Linked DNA regions of Drosophila melanogaster. The protein of the gene in region 4 interacts with the protein of the main gene of each other region in a pairwise test. Each region holds a gene or a part of one and is shown on either strand. Other genes may lie near its edges. The genes, in order: Usp15-31, rau, eIF5 and Rap1.

What was found.
Region 1: the proteins of Rap1 (region 4) and Usp15-31 interact in a two-hybrid assay, tested with the Drosophila melanogaster proteins (one large-scale study listed by BioGRID).
Region 2: the proteins of Rap1 (region 4) and rau interact in a two-hybrid assay, tested with the Drosophila melanogaster proteins (one large-scale study listed by BioGRID).
Region 3: the proteins of Rap1 (region 4) and eIF5 interact in a two-hybrid assay, tested with the Drosophila melanogaster proteins (one large-scale study listed by BioGRID).

What each region holds. Positions count from the first base shown.
Region 1 is NT_033778.4:24,742,158-24,746,788, forward strand, and holds the start of Usp15-31 (ubiquitin specific protease 15/31), read left to right. Parts: upstream 1-1,591; 5' UTR 1,592-2,109; coding exon 2,110-2,682; intron 2,683-4,631.
Region 2 is NT_033779.5:5,876,476-5,881,170, reverse strand, and holds the start of rau (rau), read left to right. Parts: upstream 1-1,672; 5' UTR 1,673-2,183; intron 2,184-4,695.
Region 3 is NC_004354.4:15,986,462-15,993,907, reverse strand, and holds eIF5 (eukaryotic translation initiation factor 5), read left to right. Parts: upstream 1-1,933; 5' UTR 1,934-2,086; exon of another isoform or gene 2,087-2,157; intron 2,158-2,525; 5' UTR 2,526-2,803; coding exon of another isoform or gene 2,804-2,825; intron 2,826-3,600; exon of another isoform or gene 3,601-3,863; intron 3,864-3,957; coding exon of another isoform or gene 3,958-4,054; intron 4,055-4,431; coding exon of another isoform or gene 4,432-4,480; 5' UTR 4,481-4,516; exon of another isoform or gene 4,517-4,798; 5' UTR 4,799-5,078; coding exon 5,079-5,291; intron 5,292-5,363; coding exon 5,364-5,840; intron 5,841-5,918; coding exon 5,919-6,623; 3' UTR 6,624-6,900; downstream 6,901-7,446. Other genes in the region: exd (extradenticle), read right to left, coding at 135-399; CG46312 (uncharacterized protein), read left to right, coding at 2,804-2,825, 3,958-4,054, 4,432-4,480; ND-20 (NADH dehydrogenase (ubiquinone) 20 kDa subunit), read left to right, coding at 7,232-7,446. UniProt on the Drosophila melanogaster protein: Catalyzes the hydrolysis of GTP bound to the 40S ribosomal initiation complex (40S.mRNA.Met-tRNA[F].eIF-2.GTP) with the subsequent joining of a 60S ribosomal subunit resulting in the release of eIF-2 and the guanine nucleotide.
Region 4 is NT_037436.4:1,858,598-1,864,212, forward strand, and holds Rap1 (Rap1 GTPase), read right to left. Parts: upstream 3,643-5,615; 5' UTR 3,464-3,642; exon of another isoform or gene 3,333-3,463; intron 3,220-3,332; exon of another isoform or gene 3,080-3,219; 5' UTR 2,615-3,079; coding exon 2,060-2,614; 3' UTR 518-2,059; downstream 1-517. Other genes in the region: HBS1, read right to left, coding at 4,436-5,615. UniProt on the Drosophila melanogaster protein: Ras proteins bind GDP/GTP and possess intrinsic GTPase activity. Plays a role in photoreceptor cell determination.

The DNA.
Region 1 (4,631 bases), on a different chromosome or scaffold from region 4:
TGGTGTTGTGTGCTGTTTTTTTTCGCTTCTCCCCGGCGCTTTCATTTTTTATTGATAAGTTCATTTAATGGGCATGGGCCTCGCCAGCTGCCATCTCATCTTCACTCTCTGTCACTGCCACTCCCCACTCACTCGGCTCACTCAGCCCCCTTTAGTCCACTCAGCACGCCCACACGACTGTCTCCTAATGAGTTTAATGCTTTGTTATCATCGCTGTAATCGGCTTATGTAATATGGCAATATAATTGAATCCCGCGAAATTATGTCATTCGGCCAGGACTAAGAAGAACCGCCTAAGACTAAGGCAGCGCCGAGTTTCGAGTGGCGGATGGAGTTTACAATTGCAAATTAGCAAATTGGCAATGCCAGTCCAGATCCAATGGCTCCAACGCAGCACCTGCTCCGAAATCATAAAGGAAATGTGTGTGTCGACTTGGGGAAGCCACTTTCACTCAGCGACCAAATGAAACTTAACGGAAAAGAAAATTACATCATGCTCGTTTCAATGGGTCGACATAATATTATTTTCCTGCCCCAGTGGGTCCTCGGCTGGTAGTCAATTTTTTATTTATTTATTTTATGCCTACGCACATACGCGCCTGCGGAAAGAAAGTGGGAGAAGGTGGAAGAAACTGCCAGAAAGTGGGAGGAACTGGGGTCCTGACAGGTGTCGCCGACTGAGTGGCTGTCTGACAGACTCGCAGAAGTGGGCGTGGCTCGTCGGCGTGGGCGGGGTGGTGAAAAATGGTGGCCTATTATTCTTTGTATTGTTTTATGTGGCATTTATACGCGTATTTTTGTCGTCTTGTATTTGGAAGGGCGAGTACGCAAGAACGGCGAACCCCGCGAGTGGAAAATAACAAAGGCAATAGACCAGCCGCCCAGGCTGGAGGGCAACGGCTTCTCCGCCACACATCGCCATCCAATCAGTAGATAAATAACACATAAAATGAGGTGCTTAATCGGGTTTGAAGTGATGAAAGTGAAACTGAACCGTCCGTCCACATTCGTCCTTGTCGCCGGCGGCGATGGCTTTGTCACCGTCGTAAATCTAGAGTATCACTGGTGTTTGAATATCATTTGCCAACGCCGAAATTCACAGAGTGGCGTTCCTTTGAGCCCGGCGGCATAATTCCACCTTAAATAGCACGCGTACTAAAGTAATTTATCAGCATTGCTGGCATAAATTAGGTTTTCCAAAATAGTTGATTAGCAAATCAAAATAAGACATCTAAAATGTGTTCGAATATGGAGTACATTATTTGAAATGACCGCACATAATCTACCTATCGATTTCCGCCGGTATTTTATGTAAACGTGCTATCACTTATCGATAAGTAATCGGGTATAATATAAGAGCAAGACCTATATAAGTCACTATCAAGTGCTTGAGAATAACTTACAATTTAGCACACCTCTAAGCATACATTTGAAAGCACTCTTAATTCGCTTAAAAAATTGCATTAATGTAATTACGATACGTAATTTATAAAAACCGTTTTTGAAAACGAGCACTTGTCGCGTTGCCAACCATTGCCAAACCGCTACCAAGAAAAAATGTTCACACTAACAGAAAACATCGATAGCGATTTGTGTATAACCAGCAAAACGGGAAACAGTCACACTCGACACATCGAAGGTATTTTTGAACAGCCAGAAACAATCACACTCTTGTTTGTTAATAATACTAGCGGACTCGCGGCCCCAAGATAGAAAACGGTTCGATCGCGCGACCATCGACCAGCCAATTTTTTTCGCTGCAAATCCGACGCCGCCCGAAAAAGTGAAAGTATTTGCATGTGAGAGGTGGAAAAGAGTCGCGGAGTGGGTCAGCGAGCAAGAAGAAGAGCCAGCGGTGCTCGAAAAGAGGGGTGGGGGCAGACACAAAAACGAGAAACCGTGAGGCGAAAATCGGAAAAGTGCAATAACGAGGCCGCGAAATCTCTGCTAAAAGGTCAATTTCCACTCGCGATAGTTTTAGCCATTAGTTAAGTAGTACAGTACGTCCCGCGTCCGTGCAATTCATACGTTAATACCAATTTATATGTGACCGAAATCTGAGAGTGTTTAGTGTGCGCGAGAGAGCGAGACAGCGAGAGCAAGAACAGCATGGGTACAACAAAGGAGCGAAGAGAGCAAAGCGAGGGCGACGCCGCCACCACCCACTTAACAACAACAGCAACAGCAACAACAGGAGCAATAGTAGCAGCAGGAGTTACTACTACGCTGCCAGCTACAAAAACAACAACCACAGCGGCAGACACGAGCACGACGAATGCCGCCAAAAAGATTCGCCGCACCTTCTCCATGCCACGCAATCCCTTCCGCTGGACGCGTAAGTTCAAAACGGCAGTGGCCGTTACGTCGTCCGCGGGAGCGGAAAACGATAACGAAAGCGGCAAGAATAACGGGGCCAGGGAGCGGCGTGGCAGCCACACGGCGATCTCGTCCTGCGTGGGAGGTGGGCGTGGCAGGAGCGGGAGCATTGTGTCGCTCAGCAGCTACGAGGCCCCATTCATTTCGTCCACCAACAACAACACAACCACCGCCAGCAATGGAAACAACAACAACAGTAGCAGTAGCAACATCAACAGCAAGCGGACACGTGCTCTGCGCCGTTCGTCCTTCAGGAAGTTTCTCAACCGGATCGCCCAGCACCTGAGCTCAACGGTTAATGTCGTGGTAAGCGCGGAAAAGTGTGGAAAGCTATATATATCAAATAGCAAATGTTTCACAATGTATCTTACGATACATAATAGATACATTCTATTACTATTACTCATCAAAACATATCATGGTGCCCTTGGTCTCTTATTGTGAGTAATTGAACGGTTTTCTTATTTATACGGCACAATAATTTATAAATCTAGGGTAACTAAGGAACAGTGGGCTAATCACTGCAGTTTTTTCTATCTGGCTATTTACCTCTCTGGATGGTTACTTCCTTTAACTAAGGCATTACTTAGTTAATTACATTCAAATGAAAATATCTAATACGAACTGTTTAGCTGCGATTAATGAGGGCGCATAAACGAAACTCATATATGTATGTAGTTCCCCCTAGTATACCTTTCCTTCTTCGCTTTGTTTGCGCGCTGCTTAGAGCGCATCTTCTAGTTTCTAAAAAACCCCCCTTCCCCACCCCCTCATTCCGCACTTAGTAGTGCCACAATGCCCCTTATCAGGAGTCCAGCCGTACTTTCATAAAAGGCATCTTCGCTTAGTGCGTTATCGGCTGCTTTGTTTTGCTCCCGCTGCTCTTTGTCTACGGCGGACGCATAGCATCTTCATCTGCATCTGGATGCGAGTGGCTCTGATTTGGCACCGTTCTGGTATTCTGGTATTCTGGTGCTGGTTCTAGGTCTTTTGTGCCGCAAAGAGTCGCCTCCCACCGGGTCAAGAATGGGCACGAATCGCCCCTTGCAACGTTTCTGTTTCGTATCGCTTCGTTTGCCCAGCTTTTTGTTTTGCTACCCGTGCTGAGTCACAATTTGCGTGACCAATGATAAGGAAGTCGAGCCGTGTTGTGTATATCAGTCCAAAATGCGGCTTATTGGGACTTTGGCTCGCTGCTCCTCCTCCAGGGAGTTTCGGTATGTTAATCTATATGGTAGCTCCAGTCTTTGTTCACACATTCCGTTCGGCGGATAAAAAGCCTTTGTTTACACAACTATAAATACATCGGATTCCGCTTTTTTGAAGTGTATCTCCAATGTTCTACGCTCTTCAGCGGCAATTTACGATTACCATACGCGAGGACGGCGCATGGAAATTAATTTTATTTTTAAACAATTGCTGTCTCATTATTATCATAATTTTTGTTGTGCCTTCGAGTGGCTGCAGCGGGGTTCCGGGGGTCTGTAACTAGGTGTAGGTGGGCGCCTTTTGTTTCGCAGACAGCAATTGTTCAAACAATTTTGTGTAAATGTTGCCAACATTTGTTGCTCCGTTCGGGCTATAATAAACAAACAAGCAAACACACACACACACTTACACACAGTCCGAAAAACAAGAGTTTTTCAGGTCGTGAGCTGCTGGAGCGAGACACCACTTAATGACGGACCGGGTGGTGAACCGGGGATCGGGAACTCCGGCGAGGGAGCACGACTACCATCCTATGTGTGCCACGCTTCTGTCGGAGAAGACAGCTCCACAAAGTGTGGAAAGCGACAAGTGAAGAGCCGAAGACAAGTGCAGGGCGCAATGACACACGCCAGTGGCCCGATCCCCTCCAGAAAGCGATAACGCTGCAACTAGAGGCTGCTGGAATTGAATTTGATCTAATAATACTCACATTGTGCGCCCCAGTGTGTGCGTATCAATTTGTAAACAGTGCAACTTAGCGTCTCGTGTTTTCTGGCTCCTGACACTTTAGCCGAGTAATATAATGCTCAAGTATATCGACTTATTATGTCGAATAAACAAATATTTCCAAGCTCACTCAACATTCAACTTCAAGTCGTAATCCGATTATAGAAAGCTGAAATCTGTGTATGTTTTTGATTGATTTGAATGGAACGATCCGTTGCCAGAGGCTTTACTGTGACTGTACAAGTTTAATTAATTGTTGAGGGCAGACCTTATGGCCGTAGTGCAGCTGACCTTTTTAGAGCTCGGAATTCCAGAACGAT
Region 2 (4,695 bases), on a different chromosome or scaffold from region 4:
AAACTGGGCTGGTGTGTACTTTTCACACGGCTGTGTGAAAAGCGTGCTATGATACCATTTTCATGTCCGCACAGTGCTGCACAAATATTTAACCGTTGGTCAGAGGAATGCCACTTAGCTACAAGATGTAACTTTTTGTGCCCCGAGGACAAACTTTGATACCCTTCAGTCAGAACGGAGAATGTTCTAAGGAGCCAAGCAATTTGACTGGGCTTTATTAACACCTTCGAACAGATCTTTCGGCTTCAATGTGAATACAAAACCAGTATCAATTTGTTAAACGGCGACCTCTAATTAGGGCCTGATTCATGAATTCTTAATTGACCGCCCCGGGTCACATGCAAACATAACTTGCCGTGCTCCAACTAATTAAATTACTCTCAAAAAGCAAACAAATAAAATTGGTTCCGCATTTTTCGCTCAGATTTTCACAACTCTGCGAGTCCGTCGTCCATCAGCGACATCGACTCATCAAGTTCATCTATCAAAGTCTAATGAATTTTACTGGCGCATCAGTTGGTTGGTTTTTTCCTTCCTTTTCATTCGCAAATTATCGAGCAACAAAAAATCTGTTATTTATTTTTGTTTTTCGCTTCGCTGATGATAATTTCACTTTCATTAATAATTTTTGGACTTTTTGACTTTGTCATAATTAATTTTTAAACTTTTGCTTTTCTTTGTTGTTTCTGTGGGGTCTAAAAAACATCAAACCGAAGCAATCTACGACTTGCCGGAATGGAATATCTCGCCTGAATGTTGAACTTTCTTTCACCTTTTCAGTTTACATACTGCCAAAGTTCAGGGCTTATTTCCTGGATTTAGTTTCGCCAGACTTAAAGTTACAAAATCGATCCTGTTAATCGAATACTATAGAAGGAGTCTTAAGGTCTACCTATTAAAAATGCATCAGCTTCATATTGATTGTTGTGGAAACTGTTAAGGTAGTACAGTTTTTGAATTTTCTTGTTGTTTAGTAACTAAATAAACTACTAATGCCGTTCTAGCGTGAACACATATATACATACGATTACTAGCTAAAGTCTTCTGCTTTGAAAACTCCCTGATTTATTACAAGTCCGTAAACTCTAGCCGTGCCTCGCCCTTCAACTTTGGTCATTTATGTAGCTCTGCCCAAGCCCATCCGGCGTCGCTCGACCGCGAATCCCCATCCCCAGATTTCCATGAGGAAACCCACATGCCGGCAAAGTCTAAGTCTGATTGGAAACCAGTTTTCCTCTCTCCGAAAAGAGCGAGCCGCAGACAGAACTAGTTCGCCCGCTCACTCGCCCACGAAGCGCCAACCCACACCCCCAGTGGCTCCATTATGAACGATTTGCGTTTTCCCAAAATCCATTCACCTAACATTCATACTATTCACATGGTATCAGATCAGCTTGGCTCATTTCAAGTTGAATTAAAGTCCCCTGTAGAAGATAAGAAGAGAGAGAATTTTATAGTCAGCTTAAAAAAATTAAATATTAGTTATCAAATTATTAAATAACTTGCTAACTGCAAGTATCTGCGTTGCTTTCCGCTGATCAAGCTAGCTATAGTTTTTTTCTGAGTGCAGAGAGGCGAGAGCGCGAGAGCCAGCTCACACACACATACAAAACAGGTATCTGAATGCGACTCCTCTCAGCGGGTTAGACCTCGCAGACGCTAGCCGTGCGGCTTCAGTGCGTCTGTAAACACTGCCGAGTGCGGTACTCAATCTACATTAGCTCCGCTCGAAAATTTCCAATTCTTAGTGAACTGGCTAACGGTAGCGAGCCTATTCGAACGAAAGTGAATGTGCGTCCAGATCTAAAATAAAATTGGTACGAAAGCCAAAGGAATATACATATGTACAAAAAGTGAACAAATTCGGATAGAAACTCAAAGTGCAACGCTAAAATAAAAATCAGTGCAGCTGCTTCCTGAGTGCACCTGTTTCCCCAGCAGGGAGCACGTACGCATACGCACCTTTGGATACGCGAAGAAATGCGAAGTGGCGTAGAGTGCTTGATAACTTAATGCCAAGCAGCCAAAGGGCCCTAAAAGCGGCAGCCGAAGAAAAACGACGCGACCTTGTCTTGTCTTCGCACTCCGGACTTCTTATACCGCCATCCATCAAAGTCTCGGGCCTTAAGGTCTTGGGATTACACACAAATCACATTTGGATACTACAAATCATACGCTAGAAGGTAAGCGCCCGATCGCTGGTCCAGTTTTCGCTCTTCATCTAGAAAGTTTGATTGCTAGACGAGATCTAGTTCGGTCGATTGGGTTTCTTCTCGCCTTGGCGAAAGTCCAGAATTTTCACAGCCCACTCTCCTGCACTCAATTATCGAATTGCGCGATTAGATCCAGACAGTTTCGCTGGCCAGAGGAGTTGATTGAACCCGCAACGGTAACCAAGCTGTTGGCCAGTCACTTCCTCCATTCCCGAGGTCATCTAGGGGGATTACAATGCAAATACGGAATTGCTGAGCATCATTGTCCGGTTCTTGGCCTCCGACAAGTGTACATCCGTGGATCTGCAACTCGACAATTTGCTCAGCATTTTTTTGAATTTTTATGCAAATATTTCAAACTTCCATTAGAGGGCCACACAGGCGGACATAAGACCTTCCCAGCTATTTTGGAAATGCATAAACATTTCATGTAAATTTCTTGGTCGAGTGACTCTCTTAATTAGTCGAGTTGCTTTGTTGGCCGATTATGAATGACACAAACTTTGGGTCTCGACCAAACATTTGATTTGATGCATATCTTGTAGATTTCTGTGAGAAAATCCGTCTCTGTTGTTTCAAGCTCAGATGAATGATATCACTCAGTTCGGTAACAATGCTCATTGGGGATTTTCGATTAACAATGCCCCCCAATCGGATACACATGTGTATCATTTCATTTGTCTTTGCTGTGCTTATTGTCAAACTCCTTAATGTCAATTCCACATAATATCATCTAATGAGGAGTTGCAATAATAAGTTAGCATTGTCCACCAGACGGCGGTGTAACCATGATTACGAGTGGGGAAAATCCCGATGTCCAAAAGCGGTTGGTTTTGATTATAAAATTGCTAGCCTGAGGTGGTGGTTACCATCACTTTCTCGCAATTTTCAACGCAACCGCAGAAAAGTATTGATATCGAATTAATTTCCTGTCCTCTCGCACACAGGAGTATTCGGTCTGGAGCATTGTTTTCCTGTGGACACTGAGGGGCTAAAGATTTCACATACCAAGCACGTAGCCTCAGACCGTTTGGCCCAACTTGTTGTCTTTGTTAGGTTCTATTTGGCTAATTAAAAATCAGGAAATGCACGAGTACAATACGCCCCAGAGGGCTCAACGTGCTGCGATCCCATCCTGAATTTCAGAAGACTACGTGAGAGAGGGATTACCTTTTTGGGCCTACCTGCTCGTGTGCTACTGTCAAGTGCGGTTTCCTTCAGTTTAGCGCCTTCTGCTTCGATTTCGGAACAGGTAGTACCACCAAATCTGTGCTTAACAGAAGTATCTTGTATTGGGCTGGATACGTGAGCCATGAAAGGATATTCGCCTCATTTAGTCTTCACATTGCACACACGTAGTACTTGCGAGGGGCGTTTTAAAAGGAAGTAGTTCTATTGATTAATCGATGGCAGGAAGTCGAGGGTGGTCTGCATCAGGGATCGTTTATCTTTCGCTGGAGATCTTGGCACTAACATCTCAATTCGCTTTTATAGTTTTTAGCCATTTTCTATCATATTTGTATTTAAGAGCTCCATTCCAGTGAATGGTTGAACAAACCATTTTGTATAATTTCCTCGGTAATTTATGCGTGGCTTTATAGCTTGAGGAAGTTGCTTGACTTCCATATACAGTTATGTACATTCAAGTCTATTGTTTCTTCATCTAACCAAAGACACACCCGCACTGGCAATAAAAAGACAATAGCATTTGTCAATCGACATAAATGTGCGCTAACCGGATTTTTGCGTACATATATGTAAAAGTTCTACTCTAAATTATTCCGGCTATAAAATAAAACAATTTATTTTACTGCAATTTTCCTAAGCTATTTTATTTTATTTCACACCCGAAGTCGTACATTCTCTTGTTGATTCTTAAATTGATTTACAATTTATTCGAGCGTTGGCAACACAATTTGATGTTGGAGCTTAGCATTCCGAAATATTCAAAATTCAATTGAAATGAATGCTGGCCCGAATCGGGGGTTTTTTTCGGTTATATATTATGCACTGCAGCCTCGTTTAACGTTTCTCGCTAACTCGGCTAAATTACAGCGAAAATCGTACTGAGTCAGCGGCTTCAAAATGGTAAATTCAATAAACAAGTTCAGCAGCGAAATGAAAAAATAATATACGACTTCTTTAATATAAATGATGGCACAAAGTCAGCAAAAAACTGGAAGTTGGCGCTTTTACTCGTGGTTTTTCTCTCAGCCGCTCTCGGTTGATATTTTTTTTTGTTGACACTTCGTTTTGTTAACAATTAATTAACAAAAAACCAAGGTACACAAAGCCTGTTAACTGTTTGTTTGCGCACGGCAACCTGTGAGATATGGTGGCGTAAAACAATTATAACGCCTTATGGCATCTGGTTTTCTCTAGCACTACAATGTATAATTCGAAACGATTAGGCATTGGGGAATTTGTGTGTTAAGTGATTCCGTATTGATTTGGCTTTCAGCGAAACTATGTAGTATTAGTC
Region 3 (7,446 bases), on a different chromosome or scaffold from region 4:
TAAGACTATTACGTTAAGAATTGTGTTTGATTTAGTAAATCAATTGTATCACAAGCAAATCACAAAATCCATAATACCATTTCAACTTATTTGATGGTCTTGAATGAGAGATAAATATAGGGTTTTAAGCTTACCGGTCTTCTCCTTGATTTCGCAAAGTACAGAGAAAAGTGCCGGCTTCATTCGGTGACAGTTTAGTGTATGTTTTCTGGCCTGGGCCTCGTCAAGTGATTGCTCCGAGATACTCATTATCTGTTGCAATATCTCGCCGATGTCCTTCTGCTTGCGCACCTCGTTCTCGCTGCCGGCATTCTGGCCATCATCCTGGCCAGACAAGCCGTATCCTTGCGGAGCCATCATGCCGCCGGTGTGGGCCAACATGCGATTGGGGTCCTCCATGGTGCCGCAACACAAAGCAAGCTACAAATCCAAGTTTCTGTAATAATATTAAACATCAAATATTAAAATCATGCAAGAAAAAAGGAAATAACCCAATATTTTTTCTACCAATTCGATTTTTTAGTGTTTTATTATTTAATAAATATTTCTTTTTTATATAAAAACATAAGTTTGAAACCCTTAAAAATGTAGTAAAAACTTGAGTTAATGTATACTTAACAAACTGAAAACAAATACACCAATTAAATCTTTTGCTACAAAATTCATCATATCTATAGAAGAGATACCAACAAAGCCATTAAACCCACAAACCCCACCACAAAATAATCCCCCAGACATTTGAGCAAAAGTGAAAAGACATTTTGGTATCCTATTGGAAATGCAATAATCTCCACCTGTCGCAATCTCATGAAGCGGCATATCTTTTTGGGGGTGAAAAAGTATCTCAGATGCGTAGCACGAAGCTGGGCAGTTACCCGAACTATTTATGAACTTATTTCTATTTATTTATTGCTGTGTACCACAGGTAACGTTACATTTTACACATGTACAGATAAATGACGCCGAGTGCATCACATACATACACTTGTACGTATGTTTAGTGCCAGCAGAATGGTAAAAAAAAATCAACCTGCCAAGTTTATATTTACATACACACAAGGTTATGGTTAAGCATTAATTTGAATGCAGTTTGAAAACATTTTGTTGGTTTTACATGTACATTCTTGAGATTTTATTACGTCAGAAAAGATTTAAACTGTTTATAACAAGGTGTATGTACATATCCACACATCGATATATGTGCATGTAAGTATTGAGAAGCGTCCACTTGAAATTCCATACTCACGGTTTTTTATTTATCGTGATTGCCTCGTATACTTATTTGCCGTACAAGTCGTATTTTGTGTTATTTTCACTAAAAATTAGTGACACATTACTTGCAGTTGTAAATAACCGCAAGTATATAATATTATTATCTTTTTTGGACAACAATGAAACGAAAGTACGTTCTGTATACGCAGAAAAATAAATCGATATGAAAAAGTTTTCCAGTACTGTAAGAATATCGATAAGTATTCCATAAAATGCAATTTATATTTGCTAGTGAAAACGTGGACAATCGATATCTTACCCGTAGTTACATTCTAGTGCTTACTCACTGCGAGTTGGGTATCGATACTATTTAAAATGTGGCTCTTGAAATAATATTTTAAACATTTTTTCAATAAAATAAATAAGATATCCTCTACAAAAAATGTGGTATATTGGTATTGGAATATAGAAGAAATACAGATGATCCACTCTTATAACATATATTTTAAAAGGCTGATTGGAACTACGTTTAATTATATAACACATATATTTGTTTCTATTTTAGTCAACTTCATTTTTAAAAATGGTCTTTCGTTTTTAAGCGTATTATTACATATCTTCATTTTAATAAATACCATATAAATTATATAAAAGTGAAAGTGTGAAAAGGCTAAAATTCATTCACATCATATTCGGCCAATCGATAGTGATAGGCTGCAGCCCACTAAAGTCGTTATGGTCATATTGTGCTGTGACGTTTAGTCGTATGTTCGTGGACTTCGGAGAAAATCTTTTCTTAAACGGTTAATTCAGTAAAATTATTAATTTACTTTCATTGTGATCAGAAACGCTTTATAGAAAACTTGTGGAAAAGGTATTGAAAAGTGATTGTGACCAAAACGAACACAACCTCAAAAGTTTAAATGGCGTGGCTTTCATCCATATGTAAATGCATACGTGCATGAAAATGTACATTTATATATATCTATACTAAATAATTCAGTTTTCCACAATTTTTGTAACGTTGGGTCTAGTGTATATCTGCATAAAGCTACTTTACTTCGTGCTTACACAAAAATCACGCTTCAACAGTGTTTTTTATGGCCATTATACAAAAGTACTGAATACATAAGTAATAGGAAAAGATATATATGTAAAATATATATATACTTGAATGTTAAATTAACCTTTTTCCTTCGAAATTATAAGTAAATTTGAGCTAAACTAAAGTAATGTAAGAAATACTTAGTACGGAGTGGTATACATATGTTCGTTCATGCGCATTCCTAATTTTATTTTCTTTCCCTTTGCAGAATAGTTGAGAGACCAAAAATTTCAATTTTTGCGATACATAAGCGCGTTAAAAGCGTTACTAATATTTTTCAATATTAGCACGGAATCAGAGCTATCAAAAAAAAAAAAAGTTATCGATTTCCCGTGGCAGTGCGATTTGTTTGATTTTGATTTATCCATATATATTTTCCAAGTCAATTTGCGATTGACTTCACAAAGAATACCCGAGAGTACGATATCTTTGTCTAATTTGCGAACTGGCATTGCGCACCCCAAAGGAGGGGAAACAAAATCTTATATGACTTTTGAAAGATACGGTGGTAAGTAATAGTTAATCATCAACAACCCATTGAATCGATTTGTATCTAAGACACATATTTATCCCGACCACTGTATAATGTCTTACTACTAACCAAGATCCGGATCCATCCAAGGTTACTTTAACATTAAAAATAAGCTTAAAAATAAGCAGCCAACACATTTCCTTCTCCCACAACCGAAAAAAAAGCAAGGATACAATGGTTTCTGAAAAAGGAATTCCAGAAACTTCTATTGCGATACAAGTAAAAGGCAAAAAGAAGTTATCCAGCGAATTCAACTGCATTCTCTTATTTTATTTGTGTGGCTTATTATGCTTTATCTTCTGAATTATGGCATATGTTTATATAAGATATAAACCTATTAAGATTTAGACTTCGTATAAATAAATGCATAGTTTCAGATCAGACTTCACTTCATTTCGTGATATTTCTAAAGCCATCTGTTCTATAGAAAACCGATAATCGGGCAATAAATAATGTCTGCGATTCGTTTTATAATTTAGTAACACACCCATTCACTTGAAAAGTGCTTTGACAAGCTTTATTCGTTGAATTTCGTTATATTCCAATAAATAATATTATTATTATTAATATTACCCAAGAATCTCGTATAAAACATAATAAAAGGGCAGACCTTGAGTAACATAAAAGAATTACTCATAGTTAGCTAATAATTGGCTGTTGGGAACAAGAATCACAATCGTACTGAAATGTTTGTCACATTCGTCAATTTAGTTGGGAAAACACACGAATATATTCAAGGGGGGGTCCTAACGAAATTCTCAGTGTCATTTTCCGGTTGCAAAAGTTAATATCTAAGATACAACAAAACAATAAAATAGTTTATACTCGCTCGACCTCTTAACCCATTTGCTGAATGTTTTTCTTTTAAAATTGACCCTGCTTTAAGACCCAGCAGTTCCATAAGTTTTTTTTTGGCTCTCAGCAACACGAAATAGTGCAAATCAGTGTTATGTTTTTAAATGATTCCAATTACTTTTGCTTTGACGTTTCAAGCAACATCAAATATACAATAAGGTCCCGTACAAATTCCAATTCGAATGCAGTTTTATTGGCTTCCAACGTGTGCGTTAAATGCAATTACATTTCGTTTTATATTTGTATTTTTCAGAAACACCAGCAAAAAAAACCACACTTCTCATTGAGAAAAAACGGAGTAAAGGGTTCGAGCTGTGCATGAATTCAAAAGGGCGAACCAAAAATCACCGGTAAGCACAAATCACTGATGACCAGACCATTAAGTATTGCTGATTCAAGTCGTACGACGTTTTGTTGCAATGCACACACTCGGGGTTTCTACGATAAAAAAATCTGGTATTCAAATTAAATTCGCTACTGTTTAATACGAGGGGCCTTTTTTACCTTGGCTCACATATGTGGCTCCAAATGCATAATACTGTAATACCCGATAAGAATTGATTATATTTGCAAGCAAAGGGAAAGTGGTGCTAAATTGCATTAAATTATACGCTGTAGAAACAGCACTTCGGTGGGTTTTTTTTTAAAGAGAACTTAGCATAATTAAGTAATAAGCATTGCATATTCGACTCGATTAACCAAATCTATTTCATATTTGCCTTCGCAGGACTTCGAGTAACAGACATCGGAAGTTACAGCCATTCAGGTACACATGAGCCTGCTCCTTCTCCATTTTTTAAAGACTTAAACTGGTAAATTTACAATATAAATAAATATATATATGTATATATATATAAATATACAAATATATATATAGATATATATGTATATATATATGTATATATAATTATTCATATGAATTCGGAAAAAAATAGAATAGCTGAATACCTACCACGGCGAAAATAAACAAAATCTTCAGCAAAATAAAAGCAAAGCCATAACCTTGCAAAAAAAAAAGAAGAAAAAAACAACTTACTCTCAAGCAATTCTGGCCGATTCTTCAAATATATTCAGTACACCCGTTGTTTGATTAGAGCACAATTAATTCGCCGTTCCGGAAGGACACCAATTCCTGCTTATTCTGGATACATTTGTTAAGTAAGCAGCAGCGGCAACTACTCAAAATAAAAGAACATTTAATGAACGGAAACGAAAGTTGGATCAATCACAAACTAGCAGAAAACCTGAAGCCAATTACTTCCCATCCACCAATAACCAATAGATACCACTGGCCACCTCTAACAGTAGCAACATTACCCGAACAACAGTAATACCCATTATCAGCATTATCTGTGGAGCCGAAAACCTATCAAGATGGCCACCGTAAACGTAAACCGCAGTGTGACGGACATCTTCTATCGCTACAAGATGCCACGTCTGCAGGCAAAGGTCGAGGGCAAAGGAAACGGCATTAAGACCGTGCTGGTCAACATGGCGGAAGTGGCTAGGGCCATCGGACGCCCGGCCACCTATCCAACCAAGTACTTTGGTTGCGAGCTGGGCGCCCAGACGCTGTTCGATCACAAGGTATGTGCACGGATAGATATCCTATGTTACCCATGAGCTATGCTCCCATTAATCACTATTAATTTCATTCAGAATGAGCGCTTTGTTGTGAATGGATCGCATGATGTGAACAAGTTGCAGGATTTGTTGGATGGTTTTATTCGCAAGTTTGTGTTATGCCCCGAGTGCGACAATCCGGAGACCAATTTAACTGTGTCGGCCAAAAACCAGACCATTTCGCAGTCTTGCAAGGCATGCGGCTTCCATGGTCTGCTCAAGGTTAACCATAAAGTGAACACATTCATTGTGAAGAACCCCCCGTCATTGAATCCGGCCGCCCAAGGATCATCGCTAACCGAGGGCAAACGCTCGAGGAAACAGAAGCAGAAGAACGATAACGCCGATGGCTCCATGACCAATAACTCTTTGGCCAACAACTCTGGCGGTGAATCAGATGGCGGCAACGGCACAAATCAGGCTAGCCAAACTGAGGCCGAGATTAGCGCAGCTATTCCGGAGAAAACAGCCAAGGATGACGACGATGAGGGATGGAGTGTCGATGTTTCGAAGGTACGTTGTTTAATCCGTATATACTCGCAATTAGCTTAAAGAGCTATTCATATGTATATTACTACTCCACCCCGGTAGGAGGCTATTCGTGCTCGTTTGCAAGATCTGACTGATGGTGCTAAGGGTATGACTATTTCGGATGACTATGATAAAACTGAAAAGGAGCGCATTGATATTTTCTACGAGTTGGTTAAGGACAAGCGGGACAAGAAGCAATTGGATGATGTGCAAACTCACAAGGAGCTGGTGATTGAAGCCGAACGCTTGGATATTATTAACAAGGCTCCATTGGTTCTCGCCGAGCTGCTTTTCACTGAAAACATCATCAAGGACGTGCAGAAGAATCGCCCTTTGCTTCTTCGCTTCACCCTCAATAATCCAAAAGCACAGCGCTATCTAATTGGTGGAGTGGAGCAAACTGTAGAGCTGCATAAGGGTATATTGATGAGCAAGGTTGCTGGAATCTTCAAATTGTTTTATGATCTGGACATACTCGATGAGGCCGTCATACTGGAGTGGGCACAGAAGGTTAGCAAACGACATGTCTCGAAAAATATTGCTGCCGAAATACACGAGAAAGCTATGCCATTCGTTCTCTGGCTGAAGAATGCCGAGGAAGAGTCCTCCGAAAGTGAGGAGGAGGAGGACGATGAATCCGAGGAGGATAACTACGTTTCCAGTGCCGGCCAACGTGGCGGTCAACGGGTCGTCCAACGCGGAATTCCACGCGCTGTTGCAGGCGACGAGGATGACGAGGACGACGTGAACATCGACGATATCTAAAAGGAATCAAAAAGAGAACAGCTACCCTAATCCAACCAGTAATATTTTAAAAGGGGGAAAATCAAGCGAGCAAGCATAATCTACAATTCAAACTGAAATATAAATTAGCGAGTTAAATCAACATGTGGTTTTTTTTATCTTTAGTTCTTAAGAGTGCTAATCGTATTTTGAGTCGTCGCTTTACTACCATTCAATTGTTTGCATAACATTTCCCAAGCCGCTGTAACAATAGAATTACACCAACATATTACAAAATAAAGCAAACAAAAACATTAATAACTACTTTTTTACTTGCCTTTTGGTCAGCTTAAGCTATGACCTTCAAGCAAGTTGATTTTTTTAGCCAACCATTGCGTTCATGTGGGAAAAGGGCATAAAGTTCATGCTGCCGCAAGTGATGTGCTTGTGTGAGAATAGGATATCTAAAGTAAATTCGTATTTTATAGTATATTTTCCTGGTGCATTTGGTATTTTAGTTAGTAGTTCGGCGGCGGTCACATCATACGCATCCCCTATAAATCGAAATAAGTTGAAGTTACATAAATAGGTATTAAATGTTTAAATGCCCAGTCCTAGTATAACTACAGATTTACTTTAGCAGGATCAACATGCTGCGTTCGGCGATGATGTCATCGACCCTGTCCCGGGCTCTCCAAAAGGCGACTCAGACACCGAATGCGTCGATTTCGGCGCTGCCCGCTCTGAATTTGGCCCTGGTGCGCCAACAACAAACGCTTCCAGTTGCCGAAGTGGCCCAAAATCTGCCCAAGAAGGGCTACTCTCCGTTCGGCACCAAACAGTCCTCCGTTGCGGAGTGGTCACT
Region 4 (5,615 bases):
GAATCGGAGGCGAGTCCCCCAGTATAGCACTTTGCTTAGCCCAAAACCTAGTCATGAAGCGGAACTCGAGCCACTTATTGTACAGTAATAGAAACTACCACGTAACTCTGTCTTAAAATTCACTTTCTACATTTTAACTGCTGGCGAGCGATTCGCCGGCTTCTACGAAAAGCATGCATTATGATTGTATATCTCAACCCGCGAATCTCTCGGAACTTGCATACCATATCAGCTGTGGATACAATGCGGTTTTACTACTCCTACGCCCCAACTTAACTCCGAATCGATCCTATCGCAGATCTTACGCTGGATTAACATGCGTGCTATAAACTAGCAGAATATTATAATTATAAAGACGAGCTATTTGATTGTAATTGTATATGTATAAATATTTGAATAACAACCTTATATAACTATTCCAAGTATCAAATACAGATATTTCAAAACTTCAATGCAATCGTCTTGTCTTTAACTTCTGAATGAACTATGCTAAGAATAAGGCATACGCTCCACAAATGAATTTATTTAATTTTTATTTTGTTTTTGCATTTCCTTTTTAATTTTTTATAAACATAATACATTTATTAATAATTAAAAGATGCTCGATCATGTCGACCTACTGCGTCGCGAATTCGGGACTGCCAGGATTCTGAGATCAGAGGCTCTGTGTGGGGTCCCAAAAACGCGACCAGTAGGGAAACAAGTTCGAAAAAATGGTTTTTCAATTACATTTTTCACACGCTCATTATTACATTATGTTATTGTAACGGTTGGTTTGTTTGTTGTTTATTATGTTCAAAAATGATTTGTATCTTTATCATATATTTAATATATACGCTTGGGCTTAGGTTTTATTTAGTTTACTTTTAATGTTGGTTGTTGGCTGTGTTTAGACTTTGATTTAAGGGCATATTGGTTACTACTCGTACGCGAAGTTTATGCAATGTTTATTATGAAATATTTGTAAATTACTTCGTTTTTAGGTTTCTTTTCATTTTGGGATTGACACGACAGTTTAGTTTGTGTTAAACCATTTCTTATGTATTAAATATTCTAGAATTTGTGGCTCTCTCTGCACTTCCTGCTCCTCTTCTTTTTACCAGGAAGCGGAAATGAGCCTTGGCCGCAGGAGCCTCTTGTCTCGATTCCGCTTCCGTTTTCGTGTAGCTTTTTCGCTCTCTGAGAGCGCGCCGGAAATGTGTAGGTGTGTTTGTGTGTGTGAGTTCTGGTTGCGAATGTGTGTGTGTGTGTGTGGGATGTGGCTGGTATGTGTGTGTTTGGGGGGGGGGGTTCAGATTTGATGCAACTGATCGTGGTAAACAATTAATTGTAAATTTGTTTTAAACTAATTTCTAAGGGGGAGGGGGCTCATTACTTCTGGTTGTTTGCAACATTTTGACATCATTTGCATACAATATTTTTATAAAATATGTTCCTTATTCATGATTCATTTCCTTTCTCGATTTATTTGCTCATTTCTCTCGTGGAATTTGTTATCTTTATCTTTTAGGCGTACAATTTAGTTTAGCTTAATTTGATTTGTGTTTCGAATGTTGTTTTCGGTTCTATTTAAAGATATACTTGTTGTTGGTTGGGCTTTCGCGTGTATAAGTAGTTGTAGTTGTAGATGTGTAGAGTACAATCGAAAAGAATCAATAAATACGAATGTTTTAGTTTACGAATGTTTCACTTGTTGCATAATTTAAAAAACGGCTCAAAAACGAACGACAAATATATTTAAATATGTAGATATATATATATAATAATTCCCCATATGAATTAATGGTTAATCAGCGAAAAATAGTACAATCATAATAGTAGTAAATGGTAATAATTACAAAAACTTGAAACAGTTAAAAACATTTGTCAGTTTAAGTTTTGCTTGTATATAGTAGATTGGTTATTTCAATTCGACAATTGCCATCGGATCCAAAACGAAACGAGAACGAAAAAAATTTGAAAATTCTTTACTTTACGCTTATACTTTTGCTCCTCTCTCCTCCTCCTCTGTTATATATTTTTTTTTTTGTTTTTTTAGTTTTGGTGGTTTTTGGAAGTCTTATAGCAGAACACATAGGGACTTTTTCGGCTTCTTCTGTTTCTTCTCGGGCGACTTCTTGTTGATCTGCCGGACCAGGTCGTAGAAAATATCGTTCACATTCACTTTGGCTTTGGCTGAGGTCTCCATGAAGGCGCAGTTGAACTGGGTGGCCAGGTTCTTGCCCAGCTCCTTGCCGACGACGCGCTCCTCTTCGAGGTCGCACTTGTTGCCCACGAGCACCATGGGCACATCGTCCGTGTCCTTCACCCGGAGTATCTGCTCGCGCAGGTCCTGCAGATCGTTAAACGTCGATTGCGCCGTGATCGAGTAGACCAGCACGAATCCCTGGCCGTTCTTCATGTACAAATCCCGCATGGCCGTGAACTGCTCCGTACCCGCCGTGTCCAGGATCTCCAGCATGCACTGCTGTCCGTCCACCTCCACCTGCTTCCTGTAACTGTCCTCGATGGTGGGATCGTACTTCTCCACGAAGATGCACTGGACAAACTGGACTGTCAGCGCGGATTTGCCCACGCCGCCGCTTCCAAGGACCACGATTTTGTACTCACGCATGCTGGCTGCTGTGCTGTTTGTATATCCTTCGTATATCTCTTGTTTTGTGCTAAATTCTAGGGAAGAGACCCAAAATGCAGGTAGGCCAGGTAGGTGGGTTCACTTTCCAGGTGGCTCTCCCTCGAAAATCACTTGTTTTTAGGCGTTGTTCGGCGATTGCTTGTCGGTTGCAGTTGTTTTTTGTTTTTGTTTTTTTTTGTTGCTCTTGCTTATTAGTTAATATATGTTTTATATTTAAAGTAAATTGTTTGTTGTTGTTGCTTTTGCTGTTGATAACCTTTGTGCCGTGTAAGTGACTGCGTGAGTGTGTGTGTGTTAGTGTGTGTGAATGTGTGATGGTGTTTGTGCTCCCTCTCTCGCTCGCTCCTTCCGCCGAGTTGCGTGCGTTCAATTGTTGCTTTTTTGAGCGGAAATATCCTGGCTTGACTGTTCCTCGAGACGGCCGTCACTGCTACCGAGAGCACACTGTGGGGGGAGTAAGAAGAAAGGCGCTTTTTAGACACAATAAACGCTAAATTCTTTGCGAGTCTTTTTGGTTTGCGTTTTTTGGTATGCTGAGAACTGACTGCACTCCCTCTTTTCTTCTTCACAACTCTCTCGTTCTCGTTCTCGCTCTAATGATTCATTTTCAGGGTTGCCAGGCGGCCGCACCGAACGCAGCGCCCCACTGCAACGCCTCAAGCCGGAGATTCCCTTAAATTTCACTCAGCTCTCTCACTTAAAATGCACTTAAATTGCACACTGGGCACCCATGTGCGTACATCGGCCTACCGAACGGCCACTAAACAACTGAACCACGCAAATGCACCCGCATGTCGGGCGGCAGGGCAACTCTGGGCGGAGTTTTACCTATGCTTTTCACTCGCTGCCGCCAACTGCTTGCTCCTTGGGGACCGCTTCACCTGTCGCCGCTCGCGAATCGCTTCACTTTTAATTTAACACTAGTTTGCCTTGTAATTTCTTTACTTTTTCGCCCTCAGCGAACAGCGAACACTCAAAGACTAGGGCTGCCAAAGCATCGATGGCACTATCGGCACTCGCAGGCCGAGGGCTACGCACGACTATCGCAATGGCTTAGCGATGACACTTTTAAAGCATTGCTGTAAATTTTAAAAATAAACTATAAAATTTATATTCGAAATATATTTGATTCTTTTAAATTTATATTAGCACATCAAATTTTGGAAATATTTAAATTGTTATTTTCCCTATATATTTTTTTTTAATTTTAATTTTGTTAATACGATTTCATATTGAAATTGTTTTCTACAGTAAGTGATATTTTATGGTATTCCTATTTTATTTTTTAAGCATAATTTGCAAATAATATATAAGCTGTGTTGCCGATAGTTTAAGAAAAAATTCTAATGCTTGATTGTTTCATGAATCAGCAATATGATTCGCATTCAGAATTTTAGTCAGCCGCATATTCACATTTTCGAGATACAGTTTTGAATCATAGAATTTATCATAAGGAAAATAATTACAATTTATACAAAAATTGCAATATCACGTTTTTGGAATATTATTGTAGGGGTCATAATATTCCAAAAACGTGATATTGCAATTTATGTATAAATTGTAATTATATTCCTTATGATTAATTCAATGATAATAAATATAATAATTTCTTAAAGTGATTAATTCCATGAAAAACACACTCCACTTTAAGATACCGCTAAAATGGTCAGACCGAAATCTCTTCCAATGCTTCAGCGTCTTTTCGATTTAATCAATTCATATAAACTATGTATATTTAGGAAATCAACAAAAGTTAATATCTAACTAAAATTTCGTACAAAATCCAGCGCGGTCATCGACCTAGCGGATCTTGGTGACCATTCCGGCGGCAATGGTGACTCCCGCCACGCGAAGCATCACGCGTCCCAGCTCCTTGAAGTCCGCATACCGCTCGATGCAGATGGGTCTGCTGGTTTCCAGTTCCACTAGGGCACACGAGTTGTTGCCCAGGCAACGCGGCTTCTTCTTGACCACCTCGCCGGTGCTCTTGTGAATCGATGCGGTCAGCTTGCAGACCACGGCGGGCTCTATTAGGGATTGGTGGTGCAGCAGCACGGGGAAGCCCATGGTAATGGGCACCTTGACGTTGAACACGATTATGCGGGCCTGGAATCGCGTTGTCACCGGAATAGGGGTTTGTGGATCGCTGATGATGCAGCCCACGGTGACGTTGTTGATGTCCAAGGCGGGCAGGGTGACGGAGACCTGATCGCCGGCGAACACGCAAGTCTGTGGGAATTCGTTCATGGTAAGGGATTTCACTTGGGCCTGCTCCCGGCTGGCACCCACCAGCACCTTGTCGTTCAGGCACAGCACTCCGGTTTCCACTCGTCCCGAGATGCAGAATCCGGAGCCAGTGCCCTTGTAAATGTCCGACACGGACATTCGCAGCGGTCTGTCGATGGCTCTTTCGGGGATCTTGAAGTTCTCAATGACATCGAGGAGGTGGCGTCCACTGTACCAGTTGGTCAGGGCGGGTTCCTGGGCTTTCTTGGTGAGGTTCTCGCCGGTTAGTCCGGAACAGGGCGTAAAACTCACATCGGAATCCTTGAAGCCCGCCAGTTTGAGGAAGGACTTTAGCTTGGTCACAATCTCTGTGAATCGGTCCTGGGACCAGCCAACGGTGTCCAGCTTGTTGATGACCACGCCTAGCTGGTTAACCCCCAGGGATCGCACTAGAATGGCGTGCTCTCTAGTCTGTCCGCCGAGCTCAAAGCCGGATTCAAACTCTCCCCTTGTAGCATCCACCACCAGAAGGGCAACATCCGCCTGTGTGGCACCGGAGATCATGTTCGGAATGAAGTCCTTGTGCCCCGGAGCATCCAGCAGTGTGACGATCTTGGTCTTGGTTTCGATACGCGACTGGCCCACGTCCATGGTGATGCCGCGGGCCCGCTCCTCGCCCGTCTCGTCCAGCACCCAGGCATACATGAAGCTCTGCTTGCCCAGCTTCTTGGACTCCTGCTCGTGCTTGTGCATC